Cricetulus griseus: one gene and its partner. The protein of the gene in region 1 purifies or fractionates together with the protein of each later gene. This does not show direct contact. Links are inferred from orthologs where the notes say so. Each region holds a gene or a part of one and is shown on either strand. Other genes may lie near its edges.

Region 1 (8,582 bases):
AGAGAGAGAGAGAATGATATTGACTGATGGGGGATCTTCCTTCCCCTGAAAGTTCTTTATGCATAGTAGAAATTGCCAGAGCGATATACATGTCTACATATATTTCTACATTTATCGTGGGCCTTTCATTTTCTGTTCTTTCTTCCTCCAACATTCTTCCTGATATTTAGGGTATTTTAAAAAATTCTGTTTCCCTTGGGCAGGGACTGTTCACAGCTTCCCTCTTCCTTTTCCTTAAGGAAATGAGTACCTTCCTTGGCACTTGTCTTAGTCATGGTGTCTATTGCTGTGACAGATCAGCATGAGCAAGAGTGACCTGGGGAGGAAAGGGTTTATTTTTCTGACTCTTCCACATCACAGTGCACCACTGAATGCAGTCCGTGTGCTCAAACAGGACGGAACCTGGAGGTAGAAGCTGATTCAGAGGCTACAAAAATGTTGCTTACTGGCTGGCTCCCTCATGGCTTGCTCAGTCTTTCTTATAGAAAGAACTCCAGCCCAGGCATGGTGCCACCCACAATGGATGGCTTCTTCTACACCAATCACTAATTATAAAAAAGAAAACAAAATATCCCAAAGCAGTGGTTCTCAACCCCTTGGGGCTGGGGGGGGGGTCAAACAACCCTTTCACAGGAGTTGCCCAAGACCATCGGAAAACACATTACAATTCATAAAAGCAGCAAAATTATAGTTATGACGTAGCAACGATAATAATTTTCTGGTTGGGGGTCACCACAACATGAGGAACTGTATTAAAGGGTTACACAGCATTAGGAACGTTGAGAACCACTGCCCAAAAAAGGCTTTCTTGCCTACAGCTTGATCTTATGGAGGCATTTTCTCAGTTGAGAGTCATTCTTCCCAAATGGCCCTAGCTTGTTTCAAGCTGACTTTAAAAGAAGGCAGGACAGCACTGTTCATTGGTCTTACCCCCACCCTCTTCCCTCTGAGACAGGACCTCATGTATCCCAGGCTAGCTTGGAATCCACTTGAGCTTCTGACCTTTCCACTTCTACCTCCTGAGTGCTGGTGTTACAGACATAGACGATGCCTGGTTTATCTGTACTGGCGATGGAACCTAGGGTTTCATGTGCACTAGGCCAGCATTCCTCACTACTCAGCTTGTTTAAATTATGTTTGCACTGTTTTATTGCTGTACTTAAACTCAATTCACAGAATTTTGTCTATGTAGCTTTTCCATTAGTCTGAGGTTAGTGACTGAACCTTATATACTGTCTGCCTCCCTTCCTATTAGTTTCTTAAGTAGATAGACAGATATAAACATCCAGTCTTGATAAACACATGTGATGATTCTTCTCTTGTCATCAAGGGGCATTTCTGTGGGGACTGGGATCCAGGGAGCAGCTACATGTCCAAATTGGGAAAGGAGGCATCTCACAGCCCCGCTGACTGGGCGGCACCTCTGGCAAGCTGCACTCTGAGCGGGCTCTGGCAAAGAGACTGTAGGGAGAATTTCCATGCACACAAAACTGCAGCATCCTCACTTGGTCCCCAGCCTCCCGGCATCTCATAAGCCTGCAGCAAGGGCAAACTGGTAGAAGGGCAGGTGCAGACAGGTGTCACCAGACAGCAGCTCACAAAAGTGACAACTCCGGAGCTACCACCCATGCTGTGTGAGGAACTACTGCTGACTTCACCAAAATGTCCTCACCCAGGACACCAAGGATAAGGAGACCTGGCCGTGACCGAACAAAGCAAACCAGAATGACAGCACCGGCTGAAAACTTTGGCATGAGTCAAACGCTATGCATGACATCAGCTGCAGGAGATTCACGGTGGTTATTCTAGACTTACTCACGGCCACACTCTCATTTGTTAACAAAAATGTATGCTTCTATGAACAGGGAACTGGCAAACGTTCACATCAGTGGATTTATGAGAAAGGAACTTTTTCTAAAACAAGATCTTAAACTCACAGACGAGGCTCCATGTGAGACCATGGCATCTGCTGCAATTCCTGATACTGTCAGGACAGCAAGGTTCTCTCCTTCACCAAAATGTAGCACTCATTCACAGTCAGAATGACTCACCAGTACAATAGATTAAGACAAGGTACCTAGTCCCTCAGTTTCTCCTCCCCCCCCATCCAGACAGGTCTCATGTATTCCAGGCTGGCCCAGAACTCACTGTATAGCCCAGGATGACCTTGAACTTCTGATCCTCTTGTCTCTAGGACTGGGACTATAGGCATGCACCACCATGCTGGCTTTCTGAAGCCAGGTATCAAACGTAGGGTTCTGAACCTGCTAGACAAGCATCCTATCAACTAAGCTCCTTTGCAACCCACTGCTCTCACAGCTGAAAGAGATAATAACAGCTTCCTCCTCCTCAAGGGTTATAGAAGTTTCAAATTACAAGGTATATGAAAAGTGTTCTTTTAAATTACAGACTATTACTCCAATTAAATATGGTGTCGACTTGCTTTGTGAGTCCTGGGACACTGGGACATCCTGACAGGAACCTTAAGCAGTAAGAAACCAAAGCAGCGGACAGTGCATTTCCTTGGCCCTGGCGACAACATCATTTCCTGCCTGGGTGGACTGGAAAGAACTACTCCCTATGGGACCATTTGGGAAGTGTACGGACAGCCGACCTCCCAGTCCTACCTATCATTCATTCCTCCTCTGCCAATCCCCGAGACCCAGCTGCTTTATCACCCACAGCTTCTAGAAGCTACTCAATACTTGGCACGTACTGGGTGCTCAATATTTACTCAATTAAATGCTAAATTGATTTTTCTTTTAGTAAAAGCACGTTCTTATGCCAACTGGACAGTTTGAAAAATGATATATTCAACACTAAGACACATGGTGTTTGATCTGAGCAGCCCCTCTTCCTGTGTTCAAACGTGGAGTCCACAGCTCTTGGCTGCAACTTGAGGCATGTCGTTTATATCTGAGCTTCAATTTCTCATCTGTAGAATACAGATAATGGTAACTCCCACAGAGGCATGAGGCCTAGCATGCAGATAGATGCTAACATGTATTATTTATAAACTAGGATAAACATTAAAAAGTAATAAGTAAGCCATCTAGCCACGAAGGGCGCAGAATCCCATAGAACTGGTCGCAAAAATCAAGAAAGGACAGGGTTACCTCTTTAGAGGAGCTGTAGTAGAAAATATTTTTTTTAATGTCAGATAGTGTAGTTAATATTATAAACTAATAGAAACGAACGACAATCCACTAACAGCTTGTAAAACAGGGCTGAACATTTTAAAGCATTTTAGGCAATCCCAGAGGTCAGTTCAGCCTCCAGGATATAAAGCCTTTGATGTGGTTTCAGTTTCAGAAGAAAAAGTGACTTCCACTGTCAATAGAATCCACACAACTGACTGGAAAATGCATACTATCTACAAACCAGGGTTTTACAGCACCAAATCCACAGCCTTGCTAATATTTGTATACAAGGAAGCTAGTATCGGGAAATCACACAAGCTTCATCTTTCCTCTATCATCCATATTTAAAAATTTTGTTTTGTTTTATTTTGTTTTTTTTTAAGACAGGGTTTCTCAGTAACTATGAAGCCAGTCCTGGAACTCACTGTGTAGACCAGGCTGGCCTCAAATTCACAGATATCCACCTGCTTCTACCTCCCGAGTGCTGGGATTAGAGGTGTGTGCCACCACTGCCCAGCTAAAAGTCTAAATTTTTAATAGTGCAGTGCCCTGTGTCAAAGTGGCTTCTAAAAAGGAGCCCCATGCCTTGAGCCATTAAACACACATTAAACTCTCCCTCTCAGCAAATAGTTAAAGTATCAATTAATCACATATGTGCAACAGTCAGAATTCCTTTTACATTAACCAAACATTAGACTGCAACACCAAACCCAAGGCTTTCAGGAACCCCCTCCACCCCCCTACCCAGCACTAGGGAGGCATTAATTCAGGTTTCAGGACAGTGACTCAGCTAAAGAAGAGTAACAACTTCCTAAACCCTTTCAAGGAGAAAAAAATCTGAGCAGTTGAGAATATACTGTCCAAGTTCAGTGCCTACTTTGTAGAGGGAAGCATTCCCTCTCCTCAGAAGGGCTTGAAAGCTGAGGTCCCTTTGTCTCACTCCGGGCTGGGGACTGTATGGTTAAGGCTTCTCTTGTGGCTACTCAGGAAATTGTGAAAAAAATTTCTCACCGTCTGGATCTCTGCTCCTAATAGTAATAATAACAAATGCCTCATTTGTAACAATGCTGCTTGTGGTAGTTTTCTGTGCAAACATCCTCCCGTTTGTTTGTTTGGTGGACGAATGGAAGGAGATTAGGCACACAAGACTCTTATGATTTTGCTCATATTCTTTTGCTTATGCAGAACCTGGAGAAAACTAGGGAACAAAATGTTCGCAGTTCCAGAAGACCCAGGGTGCCTTGATAAGATTTTCATGGAACAACACCTGCACACAATCAAGACTTGCACAACTTCGGAGACATTAACCAGATAGGTAAGATCTCAAATTGCTGTAGGCAACAAAGTATTTACAGCATTTGCTAGTATTTACTATTTAGAAATTTTACTACAACACCGATCCTGCGATAGAATCTCAGGCAGAGTGTGACTCGTACCTTTTCAGGCCTGTGGCTGGCACTTCCTAGGTGTCATCAGTATCTTCTAAATGCACAACAGATACAGACCGAATGCGGAGGGCATTGCACGTGGTTAAGAAAATGAAAGAACGCATCCAACTTTGCCACCCACAACGGCCACTCGTGGGTCTAATTCTCGCTGGTCGCGGGAGGTGCAGTCTGGAATTTTCCTTACTCTTGTGTTACTATGAAGTGGTTTGGGGCAAAGAAACTTACTACAATGGGAAGGTGGGAGGGAGAGACCCCACTAAGCTGCTGCCTCCCTCCAAAGAGCATTACTGGAAACGTGGAAGTTAGAGGCAGCGGGGACCACACACAAGGTTCTGGAAGTTGGGCAGGCCGCGCGCGCTCGCCCGGGGAGTGGAGCCCACCCGAGGCGCCCCCGCCTGCACGCTCACCCGCCCGCCCGCCCTCACCTGAGCTCCAGCTGGTCCAGGCTCTCCAGCAGGCGACTGGAGCGGTCTGCCATGGACGAGGAGCGACAGAAGCGACCCTCGTGGGCCTTGGCGCTGATCTTCGCCTGGGCCATGAGCTCCGGGGGTCCGGGGCGTCCGCGGGCAGCAGTGGCGCGGGCCGCACGTCGCCGTCACCGCGGGCGCCGCTGACGCGGACGGCACCGCCCCCGAGGCCGCGCGGCCAAACAAGGGCAGGCGCGGGCGCAGCCGCCAGCACTCGGGTGGGGGACCCTGTCCCGGTGCCCGTCGCCAGCCTCCCACCGGGCTGCCGGCTCGCCGATGGCTTCTGATGTTTGTCCCAACACCCACAATTCACAGCAGGGACAAAATCGTGCGGCCCGTGACGTGGGAGAAAAGATCCCCTGGTGTAGCGTTAAGACAATTGAGTGCGCCTTAGGGGCAGTCTCTACTTGCCCGACCTGCCGGGTTACCAGGCAGGCTCCTAAGAGGACAGGGAGAGCCTGGGCAACACTGTGCTCCAAATAAGGAAAAGCCAAGTGCATTTATACTGTCTCGCCTTTCTAATGAAAGGTTATTACTTTCACACCCAACTTATTGAAATCCTCCGTGAATAATATTCAATAGGCTCCTGCAGAGGTCACTAAGAGGTGGAGTAGGGTTGAAATACAAAGCCATGTCTGGTTAGAGTTGTGTTTTGTCCTCTCGGTGCACAGAAAATGAGAAACTTGGATTTACAACCTTGAATCAGAACTCAAAGCCATTTGATGACTTAACAGAGTCAAGTCCCTTAAGCACAGCTGGCTTCCAGGTCCTCCACCACCATCACCACCCGCCCCATCCCCAACTCATTTTACATAATAAGGAACAGTAGGTTATCTGGCTTCATTAAACATTGTCATTTCATGACACAAATGTGAAATTTGAACGTTTTGTGAATGTCTTGAAAAATCGAAGCTTGCGCTCATCTCAGGTCTAATGCCAGCTCATCTGGATGTTGATAAAGGATTGTGTCTCTCGGGCCAGAGTGAGTTCAAAGGCCAGGCGGGGTTGCTTTGCCAAGAGCTAAAAATCTCAAAAAGTATAAGGGGCTGTAGACGTAGCTCGGTGGTATAGCATCTGCCTTTGTCCTAGGTTAGCAACTAAACAAGGCAGATGTCATGGATTCAGTGTCTTATGCTCTCTGGCATCTGGTCCTCAGTTGGCTGTTTGGGAACGATTATGTGTGGTCTTGCTGGAGGAAGTATGTCACTCTGGGCATGTTGCAGAAGACTAGCCATTCCCAGTGTGTCTCTGCCTCCTCCTTGGGTTCCAGATGAGTGCTCAGAACCTGTCCTTGATGCCATCGTGACTCTGACCCTCTGTAGCTGAGCCCAATTAAATGATGTTTTGCTTTGTTTTTTGAGACAGGGTTTTTCTGTAGCTTTGGAACCTGTCCTGGAACTCCCTCTGTAGACCAGGCTGGTCTGGAACTCACAGAGATCTGCCTGCCTCTGCCTCCTGAGTACTGGGATCAAAGGCAAGTGCCACCACCGCGGGGCTTAAATGATTTATAAGTTGCCTTGGTCATGGTGTTTTATCCCAGCAAAAGGAACTAATATAGCAGATATCTTCAAAGTAACCATTTTATTTTAATTTTGTGTCACCAGTTGGGCACACACAGAGGCATTTTCAGACTACATGTGTGTTCCTGTCTAAAGATGTGTGAACTCTTTAGAGAGAGTGTGCTTCTGAATGGCCAGGCTCCTCCCATATGACTATAGACTCTCTGAACGAAATCCCCAGTGCTTGTGGAGTTTGTGGAGAGCTTTGCTTTGGTAATGGCTCCCATGCTCTTCCTTCCTACCCAGTACAGGTTGCAAACCTTTGTAGTTTTCATCTTGGCTGTGCTTATTTTGGTTTCACAACCAACAGAACATTTTGTTACAGGTTTGGTAATTTTCAGGGTTCTAGACTAGAATCACTCTGGACTTTCACTCATATCCTGGACCCAACCCATTAGTAAGTCCCAATTCTACTTTCAGAATATATCTTGACTCTTCCAATCCCACCATCACCTGGCCAGTCTTCCCTGGGTGACTGCAAAGCCCCATCCGCTCCCTCGGCATCTATCTTGCCTCTCTTGGGAATTTTTTTTTTTTGGTTTTTCGAAACAGGGTTTCTCTGTGGCTTTGGAGACTGTCCTGGAACTAGCTCTTATAGACCAGGCTGGTCTCGAACTCACAGGGATCCACCTGCCTCTGCCTCCCGAGTGCTGGGATTAAAGGCGTGCACCACCAACGCCCGGACATCTCTTGGGAATTCTTAATACAGTATTTAAGCACAGTAGATTGTACCAAACCCTCAGGAACCTCCTGTGGCTCACCACAGAGCAAACAAAAGAAGCACCATTTCTCTTAAGTGTGTGTCACTTTTGCAAAATCCTAAATCAAACCACAAGTCAGGGGCCACCTTGTACATTTTTTTGCATGGCTGATTCCTTTGCCTTCTTTGAATCTTGGCTTAAGTTCACTTACCAGTGAAATTTTTCCTGACCACTGTTAAAAATATCAAGCCTGAGCTGAGCGGAGTGGGCGCACATCTGTAATCCCATCAAGCATAAGGCTGACCAGGAGGACCTGGATTGGAGACTAACCTAGGCTACACAGCAAGATGCTGGCTCAAAAAAAGAAGTAATTCTAGGGTTGGGGAGAGCTAAGTGGTAGAGAGTGTTTGCCTAGCATGGATGCTGCCCCAGATTTGATGATCCCCAGTGCTGCAACCCACCCTGAATCCGGCATCATTCTCACTGCTTCTATACTTACTACATTATCCCCAATAGGTACAGTTTTACCTATCTGCTTGTTACCCAATACTCTCTCCATATAGCCCACTCTCCATGTCTGAGCAGTAGAGGGACCGGAGCTCTTAGGATCACTGTCCCATCTCATGTACTTTGAGCAGCTGCTGTCACTTGGTAGATCCACAATACTTTGTGAACAAGTGAATTAACAATGAAATGAAAAAAAAAAAAAAAACCCTGTTATCAATATTAGAAATATACTTGAGATAATAATCTACAACTTTATTATTAATGATTCCTGTCTAAATTCAAATTATGAAGCAGTTTTATAATGTTTTAAAATCATTTAGTGAGTAATGATGTTAACACATTAAAGAACACTGTTACCTCTTCCTAAGAGCCTCAGGGAACTATCCCTTTCCTGTCAAACCAAAAGGTTCGGCTGCTGTATGAATGCTATAGGAGGTGCTGGGAGTGAATCCCTGATCTTAGGCACACTAGGCAAACACTGAGCCACACACTTAACACAAAAGCTCCTTAACAGACTATCAGGGTACACCATGCTTGGATGTAGAATTTCTGTGGAATTTCTGGCAAAGAAATGCAAATGTTTCTTCTTGTTCCAGATCTGCATAGCTACTTTCAAGGTTGTCTTTCTTGTTGTTTAGCAAGGTCCTGCAAATGTGTTTAAGATCAACATGAGGACTGCCTTTTATATAGCCTTGCTTGACACTTTAACATAAAAATGTCAAAGCAGCCTGGGCTGCATAGTGACAGCTTCTTGAAAACA
Region 2 (7,801 bases), on another chromosome or scaffold:
ACACTTCTAGCTCTTTGTAAGTGGCTTTTCATTACTAAAGACATGAGGATGATAACTACAACCATCTGCTCTGCTTCAGAGCACAAGCCTCAAAGCAGCAACTATTACCAGGTAATGCTAAAACTACTGCTCTGATTGTCTTCATGCATCTTGTTGCAGTCAATATTACTTAGTTACTGAAATCAAGAAATGAACTGAGAAGCCAGACTTACACACCTGTAACCCTAGTATCCTGGAGGCTGAAGAAGGAAGATTATTTTGAGTCTGAAGCTGCCTGGGATATAATTTTGTTCCTCCCTGACTTCTAAAATGACAGAACTAGTCAGTGAGAACAGGTACAGTGGCTCCAGGATGAAGGCACTGACTGCACTGAGCCACATGCCCAAACACGGCTAAACATCTCACAGGAACAAACCTCCATGTGACACCGAGAAAGCCCATCTTTCATTGCTCAGACATGAGACCTGCCCATGACACATCAATCTAAAATGCACAAGATGATGAAATGTAAACCTGTAACAGTTGAATTTATCCTTACATAAGCCATTTTTCTTATCCCTGCTATCAAGATAGCTATAAATAGCTATCAAGAGCCCTCATCATTTGCATATAGTGAAAAGAAGGCTTAAAAGGTTAAGTGAACCGAGAGCTTATCAAGTGGAGAATGTACAGTCATGGCCAGACCGTCCAATTCTACAGCACCACCCCAACCATACCACTAGGGTGTTTCCTTAACAGTACATTTCACAGAAAACCTGCTGATCCTCCAAAAAGAACTATCTGAAAGCTGTGGAACACCTCCTGAGAGGACTGGTACCAAGAATGCTGTCTGACAGTCAAGGTCCTGAACGAATTCCATGAGGCCAACACTCTAATTAGAGAAACAGAAGAGAGCTTCAGCTTCCATGTGTATTGTCAAGATTTACCTGAATGGAAAGGAAACTGCTGCTTGGCTTCACCAGTGTGTGCATCCCAAATAATGGTAGTCTGAGATTAAAAGGAAAAGAAAAATTAATTTCTCTGACGTTAAAGAGTATGTGAATGCAAGAATGGATGCCTGACTGCATTAAGGCAGAATGAAACTCGACAGTGAACTTCATCTTCAATGTTTTTATTCCTCACAGCACAAGGGCATCATTCACACTCAGGTAGGTCAGGGGAAATGACCATGACGTAGTTTAACTTTTTTGTGGCAATTTTTCACCAACTTATTTCTAGTAACAACTATTGTTTGTCAACAAAGTGCCTGGCATTATATTAGACTGTGTAACAGGTTCCACTGCAATGGTGTGTTCAATATGCATTTTTACAGCTCTGAAGTTAGAAGGTTGTAGTGAAATCACCTATCCCGGAATACTGAAACATTTCTCCTTTCCTGAAGCTTACATGGACAAAAAAGAAAGAAAAATAGATGTTTCCATTTTTGATACCATTTAAGGCAGGTCCTGAAGCTGCTTATGAGAAAGACAGTACTGGCTCTTCTCCTCCCCAGATACCTTCATCAGTCTGTGAAAACTACTCATCAGAACTATGAATCTAAGCCAGTTTATGTCCCCTTCCCAACACCACCCAAATGATTAATAGCCTGTTCTTTGCTGGAACAAAAAAAGTCTTAAACCTTTTATTATTTAGGGAAGTGTGGTAGAGGGGGCCTAGAGGAGGAGGAGCCAGTTCCAACCAGTCTCTATTTACTTCACAGAGCACAGGAAGACATGGATGGCCCACGGAGTCACTCCAGAGTTACAGCCACCACTGAGATAAACTGGCAAAGCACAAAGTGCTGAATGATAACATTCATTAGGTTCAAATTCCAGCAAAAATGAAGAATGCTTATAAACAAAAGATATGATGAGTAGATTAAGGAAAACAAGCGGACAACAAGAAATTATTTCTATTACTGTCAAAAATCCATACTTGAATGCACTGAAGTTTAAATGATTATCAGAAAAGAAAAAAATTACTTTCAAATATAGTGTTATACAGGTTAGGTAAATAATCATTTACCTTATCTACTCCAGCACTTAGGATGAAATTTCCTTTCTTATTCCATTTTAATGCAAATATAGGGCCTTTATGCTGCCCTAAGGTGCTGGCAAGATTACCTAAACAACAACAACAACAAAAAAAAACTTTAAAATTACTTCAAACTTTATAACATAGAACATCAATAAAGTTAGAAAAATACATACCATCTTTAGTCCATATTCTGGCAAATCCATCATATGACCCAGTTGCTAGAAGTGTACCTTCACTCTGCCAGAGAAATAAATTTTGTTCATTACACAATTAAGGCTACTTAATTACTATGAATATGTCCAGGCACAAAGGAATCTCATCTCTGTGTGAGTGCCACCAAAGGCCGGCAAAACCCCTTTCCCTGATGAAGTCAATGCTCTTGAAAGGCCCACCCCAAATCTGAGCACTGGTCATAACCGCTGTGGAGTAGGACTGACAATAACCCTCTGCAGAATATTTTCATAGACACCCATGAATGAGGATGGAGGTAGGTTGCAGACTAAAAGGACATCAAAACACCACCACGAAAATGGTTTTATAAGAAGTAAAAAGTAAAATTCTGATCAGGACTTAGGAATTTGGAGCCAGGTTGACTGTACAGCCAAATCCTCAAATGCCTTCATTCACAAACCACTAAAGCAAGGGACACTCACATTCCAATCTAGAGAAGTGACATCCTTGTTGCTGGGAACGTCCTGTCCTCCTTCCCGTATGCAATGCCTAAGCACCAGCTGTGTGGGACCATTCGTGCTGTTTTCACTAAGATTCCATATTCTTGCTGTGGAGTCTCCAGACCTTCAAAGTTCAAAAATAGGTTTAAGTCCTCATGACATTCTCCAGCATTCCAAAACTCAGGCCATACATTTAGCATCTGAGTAAGAAGCAGACTACCAGGCATAAACATTCCCAATATTTTTCTTATTCTACATTTTAGAGCTCCTACCAAGAAATTCTAAAGTTACTTCACAGGAAATATCAATTTACTAAGGTAACATGACCAGAAGCAGGCAACAAGCACCTGGAAAGTGAAATACATACAAAATATGCAACAGTCCATTCAGTAAGGTAGCCTTAATTGGCACTGTAGATCTGGGTATGTTGCAGCAGGCCTATTAATCTCAGGACTCAGGAGGGTCAACAGTTCAAAACTAGCCTCCCCTAAACAGTAAATCCTGTCTAAAACCAAACAAAATACCCAACATCCTTTGAAAAACCTACCCTGATGCCAGGAGATCACTAACAGGGTTCCAGGCACAGATGAAAACCTCAGATTCATGGCCCCGTAGCACAACTGCTTTGTTGGGAGGGATTTCAACATCCCCATCTACTTCCATCAAGTCAGTGTGATTATCTGCATCATGAGAAGCAACAATCTCTGTAAGAGGTAATCACAATTCTAGTACTAGTCCTAAGCATGTGAGGGTCTATATACACAGATGTGGATATGGAAGGAGGCAAGGGAGAAAGAGGAGTGAAAAGGGAGTGAACCTCAGCATGGCTGGAATGATAATGTGGCTGAATTAAACCATCTATAACAATATTATTCTGAGTTTCTGCCAGTAGGGGTTGCTGATATCGTTCATATAACATGAGAGTCATCTTTATTCCTCAATGTCATAGCCTTACTTATGTTTAAGAGAGAACATTCCAACTTTTACTTAAAAATCAAAGGCAGATTCGGAATTCTAAGAGAAAAAGGGTTCAAAAACACCTAAAAAGGAATATACAGTGAATTTAGCTTTTTGGAACCTTAAGTATAAACTCTGAGCTGTGTGACCTAAGTTGGGCATAGAGGTATCATTTCAGTTCTAAGGATGGGACAGTCTATGTAAGGCCAAGTGTTTTCTGAGACTCTCTAAACATTCTTAGCTCACTTGTGATGGTATGTGCTCCATTCTCCTCCCCATTTGCTGTATTCTCTCCATTTTTTGCAGATCCTTGCTGGTTAGTGGCTGCGGCGGCAGCTGCAGCGGCGGCTGCATGTTGCTGTGCAAGCTTGTCTCTGTAGGCTTGTTGTCTTGTTTGGACTACATCGGGCATAACAGCATCGATCAGCGACAGAGACTCAATGGGCCGACCATCAAATAAGGTGCCATCCTGAGATTGGAAAACCCGGAAAGAAAAATGAGATGTAGCCTTGAGGGTGACATGCATTCCACTAACAGAATGAAGAGCTTCACTTTGAGGAAAACCTGGTAATTTTCTGAATTTGAGCAGGAAGGAGAGAAGAGAATAAGAATGACCCTGAATGAGGCAGATGCAAATGGCCCTCTACTCTTCACTTACATCCTGCTAAACTCTACAAAGACAAATGCAATACAAGAGGCCACTCATAAAAGCTCTTAAACAGATAATAAAATGGAAATATGTCAAATTCAGGTAATGAAGGCTGTCAGTAAAAAACATCAACCAATAAGAGTAGCTCATACAACAAAGAGGCAGTGTCTCATCAGTACTCTGAATCCAGGCCTTGGAAAAAAAATAAATGCACCTGTACTGAACTGGGGCAGATCTTTTTCTTGTAGATTTTCCTTAAACATAACAGGGTAACAAGCACATCATATATGTGATCTAGATGTGTACCATTTGGTGTAAATCAAGAGCACTGTAGATGGTGCTCACTGTGGCAATGAGGGACCCATCCTTGAGGATACCAACAGGAGAATGGACACTTTAAACAGCTAAAATCCTTCCACTTATGTTTTTGGGGGGAAGGGCAGGGGAGGAGTGTGTTCACTTTTCAAGTAAAGAATAAAGGGAACACCTCAACGTGTTCTGAGTCCTGGAAATACATTAAACTTTCTAGCTAGAGCAAAGTTCTGCAGACTTCTAGGAAAGAGCAGGCAGTGTGTGCATTTAAGATCCGTGTCACAGCACCTCATGTTCCCAGTATCCACCCAGACAGTCCAAATGTGAATGAGTCTGCCTGAGTTACAAAGCTGATCTACAGAATCAGGCCCCAGAAGCATGCCAACACCTGAAACAAACCCCCTACTTACACATGAACCTCACACATGCAGCTCTGAGCATCAAGAGTGGGCATCCATTATAAATACCTGGATTCAATAATCAGGGTACATGACACTAAACAATGGATTTCCCAATGCTTGCCATCAAGTTGTTGCCGTACAATAAAGCAAAATTCATTATTTGTTAAAAATTATTTCCTTGTGCTTACTTAAAGCACAAACACACACACACACACACACACACACACACACACACACACACACACACACACAGCTTCCCCACCCCCTCCACCCCCTCCCTTAAGGAATAATCTAGACTCAGGCCACTGGAGCGAAGCCCACATGCATAGCTAGTACAACCTGACTGGTACATTAAGAATGATGACCTTATTTTGTCTGAATACAGTGAAATCGAGTCAGATACTGAATAAACAAATGCATTTAAGAATCAGAATCAGTGTCTGAAATGAAACTCGTCTGCCTTACCTCATTTATGCTAACTTCTGCCTCTACATACTGTAGGCCTTTCTGGATGATGGAGATCAATGCAGCAGGTGGGACAAGGGCGCCATTTATATTGGACTGACTTATATGGCTCTCTATACCAAAGGTAAACGCGGAATGAGAAAATCCTAAAAGCAAAAGAAAAGACCTGAGAATTTACTTTCTTAGTAATTTCACATTAAATTACAAATGGGAAAAAAAAACTTTATAATCTTTCATAATCACACGCCATCACTTGAAATTGTAAATGGACAGCTAAAGTAAAATATGAGTTTAAACCAATGATCAATGCAGTGCTAGTAACTTTCTGGCATCTACTAGGTTAGTTGGCTCCAGTTTTTCTTTTGTACTTTTTCTCTTTTTTTAATTTAAAAAGTTATTTTTCATTTTACATACCAACCTCAGTTCCCCCTCCTTCCCCTCTCCCCACCTCCTTCCTTCCCAACCCCCACTTGTCAGAGGGGGTAAGGCCTTCCTTGGGGAGTCAACAAAGTCTGGATTACCAAGTAGAGGTAGGGCCAAGCCCCTCACCCCTGTATCAGGATGGAGCAAGGCATCCCACCATAGCGAATGGCTCTAGTATTTCTAACAGTAACACAGCTTTCCTGAAGAAAATGCATCAAATGTAAAAACTGAAAAGCCTTGAGAAACAATGGACCTAAACTGCCTCATGAGACAAACAGAAATCAAGATTTATATGGCAGGTCTTATTTCTGTGGTATATTTGAAATTTTAGAGACAAACTGTCAAGCACCTTCATTGTTTTGTAGCTTAAAAAAATTAGCGAATAAAATGCAAGCTATAATTAAAAAAAAAGGCAAAATGATAACAGACTTGGGCTGGAGATGTGGCTCAGTGCTTGCCTAGTTATGCATGAAGTCCTGGGCTCCAAGCCAGCACTGAGAAAACTGTGGACAATGGTGCACACCAGTACTGCTAACATGCAGGAGATGCAGGCAGGGAGATCAGAGTTCAAGGTTATCTTTTGCTAACCTGTACTGTGTGAGACTGTCTCCAAAAGAAATAAAAAGCCAAATTATAACACTTGAACTTTTTATATAAAATTATTTTATATCCATTGTTTTAAAAAATACTCATAATTTAGGAATAACTCATCTAAACAAGCACTTAAGAAAAGAACTATAAAATGAAAGTCCAGTTTCTAGGTAGGTCTCCTTTGACAAATTAGTCCCAAAACTCAGGAAGCAGAGGCACATTACACAACATTTTCCAGGATAGCCAGGGGATGGCTACAAGGAAAGGCCATCTCAAAAAGTTAAATAATTTAAAAAAATACTTCAAAGCATGAAACTCACATAGCCAGTCTCTTTATATTAACTTCATATTATAGTGAAAGTCTAGTCCAGATAACAAAGAGAAGTTCCAGTAACAGACAGGATGGCTGCTCTCTGTGAAATCCCATCACAGTTTACTAAGTTTAAAGCCTGTACACATCCAAACAGCATGTGGCTGGGAAAGGCTCGTGGGTGGACAGAGTACACCTGGCTGGGTTCTCCTCGAAGCTTGTACTTCTGCTAGCCATGCCTTCCTTAATGGCCCACGGTGGGAGGGGGAGACAGTCATTTTTCTAAGACTTTAGTTTTAACTTCATGACTTCCCCCACAGACTAGTTTGTGTTTAGGCACATTAAAGGTTTTGTGTTTTATCTGAAGTCACAAAGATGGCAGAAACAAATGTGGCTGTGAGACAGGGGAGAAAGACACCTTTCTGAAGTATCCTTCAGGAATCCCAAGTTCCAGAATCTGGGGAGGTCTAGCTTCCAGATCACCAGCACAGAAAGGCAAGCCTAATTCTTGGAAGTATTAAGAGAGAGGACTGGAGACGAGGCAATGAAGTTGGAGGTTGGGGATTTCTATGTAAATAACATGACAGTCCCCAAATAAGTTCTTCAACAAATCAAAAATGGGGTGGGGGCAACCACTTAGAAGACTTTGAAACAGAAGATGCCATTATGGAAAACACACCAGCTCTTTATTGCATTATATTATGAATTAAGGCTGGGGACAGTCACAGGACGCAATAGGGACTCAAATCCATCCTGCTTCCTGATTCTCTTGAAAAGTCAAAATACTACACTTGAGAACAGCAGTCATCATTGCTCAGTTGTTCCTTAGGGACTGAGAAAGAGGAACAGGCACATTATAAAACACTAGGGCACCTCACCAGGATTGGGAAGGAGTTTATATTTACAATCATAAGCTGAGTAAAACCTGTTTTCTCTACATTCTCCTTGAATACATTTCTCAGAACTACCAGATTCCAGATCCTATCACGCATCCGTACTGGCCTGC

Evidence for each region. Proteins that work in one complex are often made in the same cells at the same time.
Region 2: the proteins of Bag2 (region 1) and Tbl1xr1 purify together in Homo sapiens (affinity purification with mass spectrometry; 3 studies listed by BioGRID and IntAct, with this or other methods). This does not show direct contact. The link is inferred for Cricetulus griseus from reciprocal best matches to the Homo sapiens genes BAG2 and TBL1XR1.

What each region holds. Positions count from the first base shown.
Region 1 is NW_023276807.1:14,225,177-14,233,758, reverse strand, and holds the start of Bag2 (BAG family molecular chaperone regulator 2), read right to left. Parts: upstream 5,198-8,582; 5' UTR 5,127-5,197; coding exon 5,014-5,126; intron 1-5,013. UniProt on the Homo sapiens protein: Co-chaperone for HSP70 and HSC70 chaperone proteins. Acts as a nucleotide-exchange factor (NEF) promoting the release of ADP from the HSP70 and HSC70 proteins thereby triggering client/substrate protein release.
Region 2 is NW_023276806.1:126,264,492-126,272,292, forward strand, and holds part of Tbl1xr1 (F-box-like/WD repeat-containing protein TBL1XR1), read right to left. Parts: intron 5,618-7,801; coding exon 5,472-5,617; intron 4,114-5,471; coding exon 3,891-4,113; intron 3,392-3,890; coding exon 3,235-3,391; intron 2,812-3,234; coding exon 2,670-2,811; intron 2,254-2,669; coding exon 2,190-2,253; intron 2,103-2,189; coding exon 2,005-2,102; intron 988-2,004; coding exon 927-987; intron 1-926. UniProt on the Homo sapiens protein: F-box-like protein involved in the recruitment of the ubiquitin/19S proteasome complex to nuclear receptor-regulated transcription units. Plays an essential role in transcription activation mediated by nuclear receptors.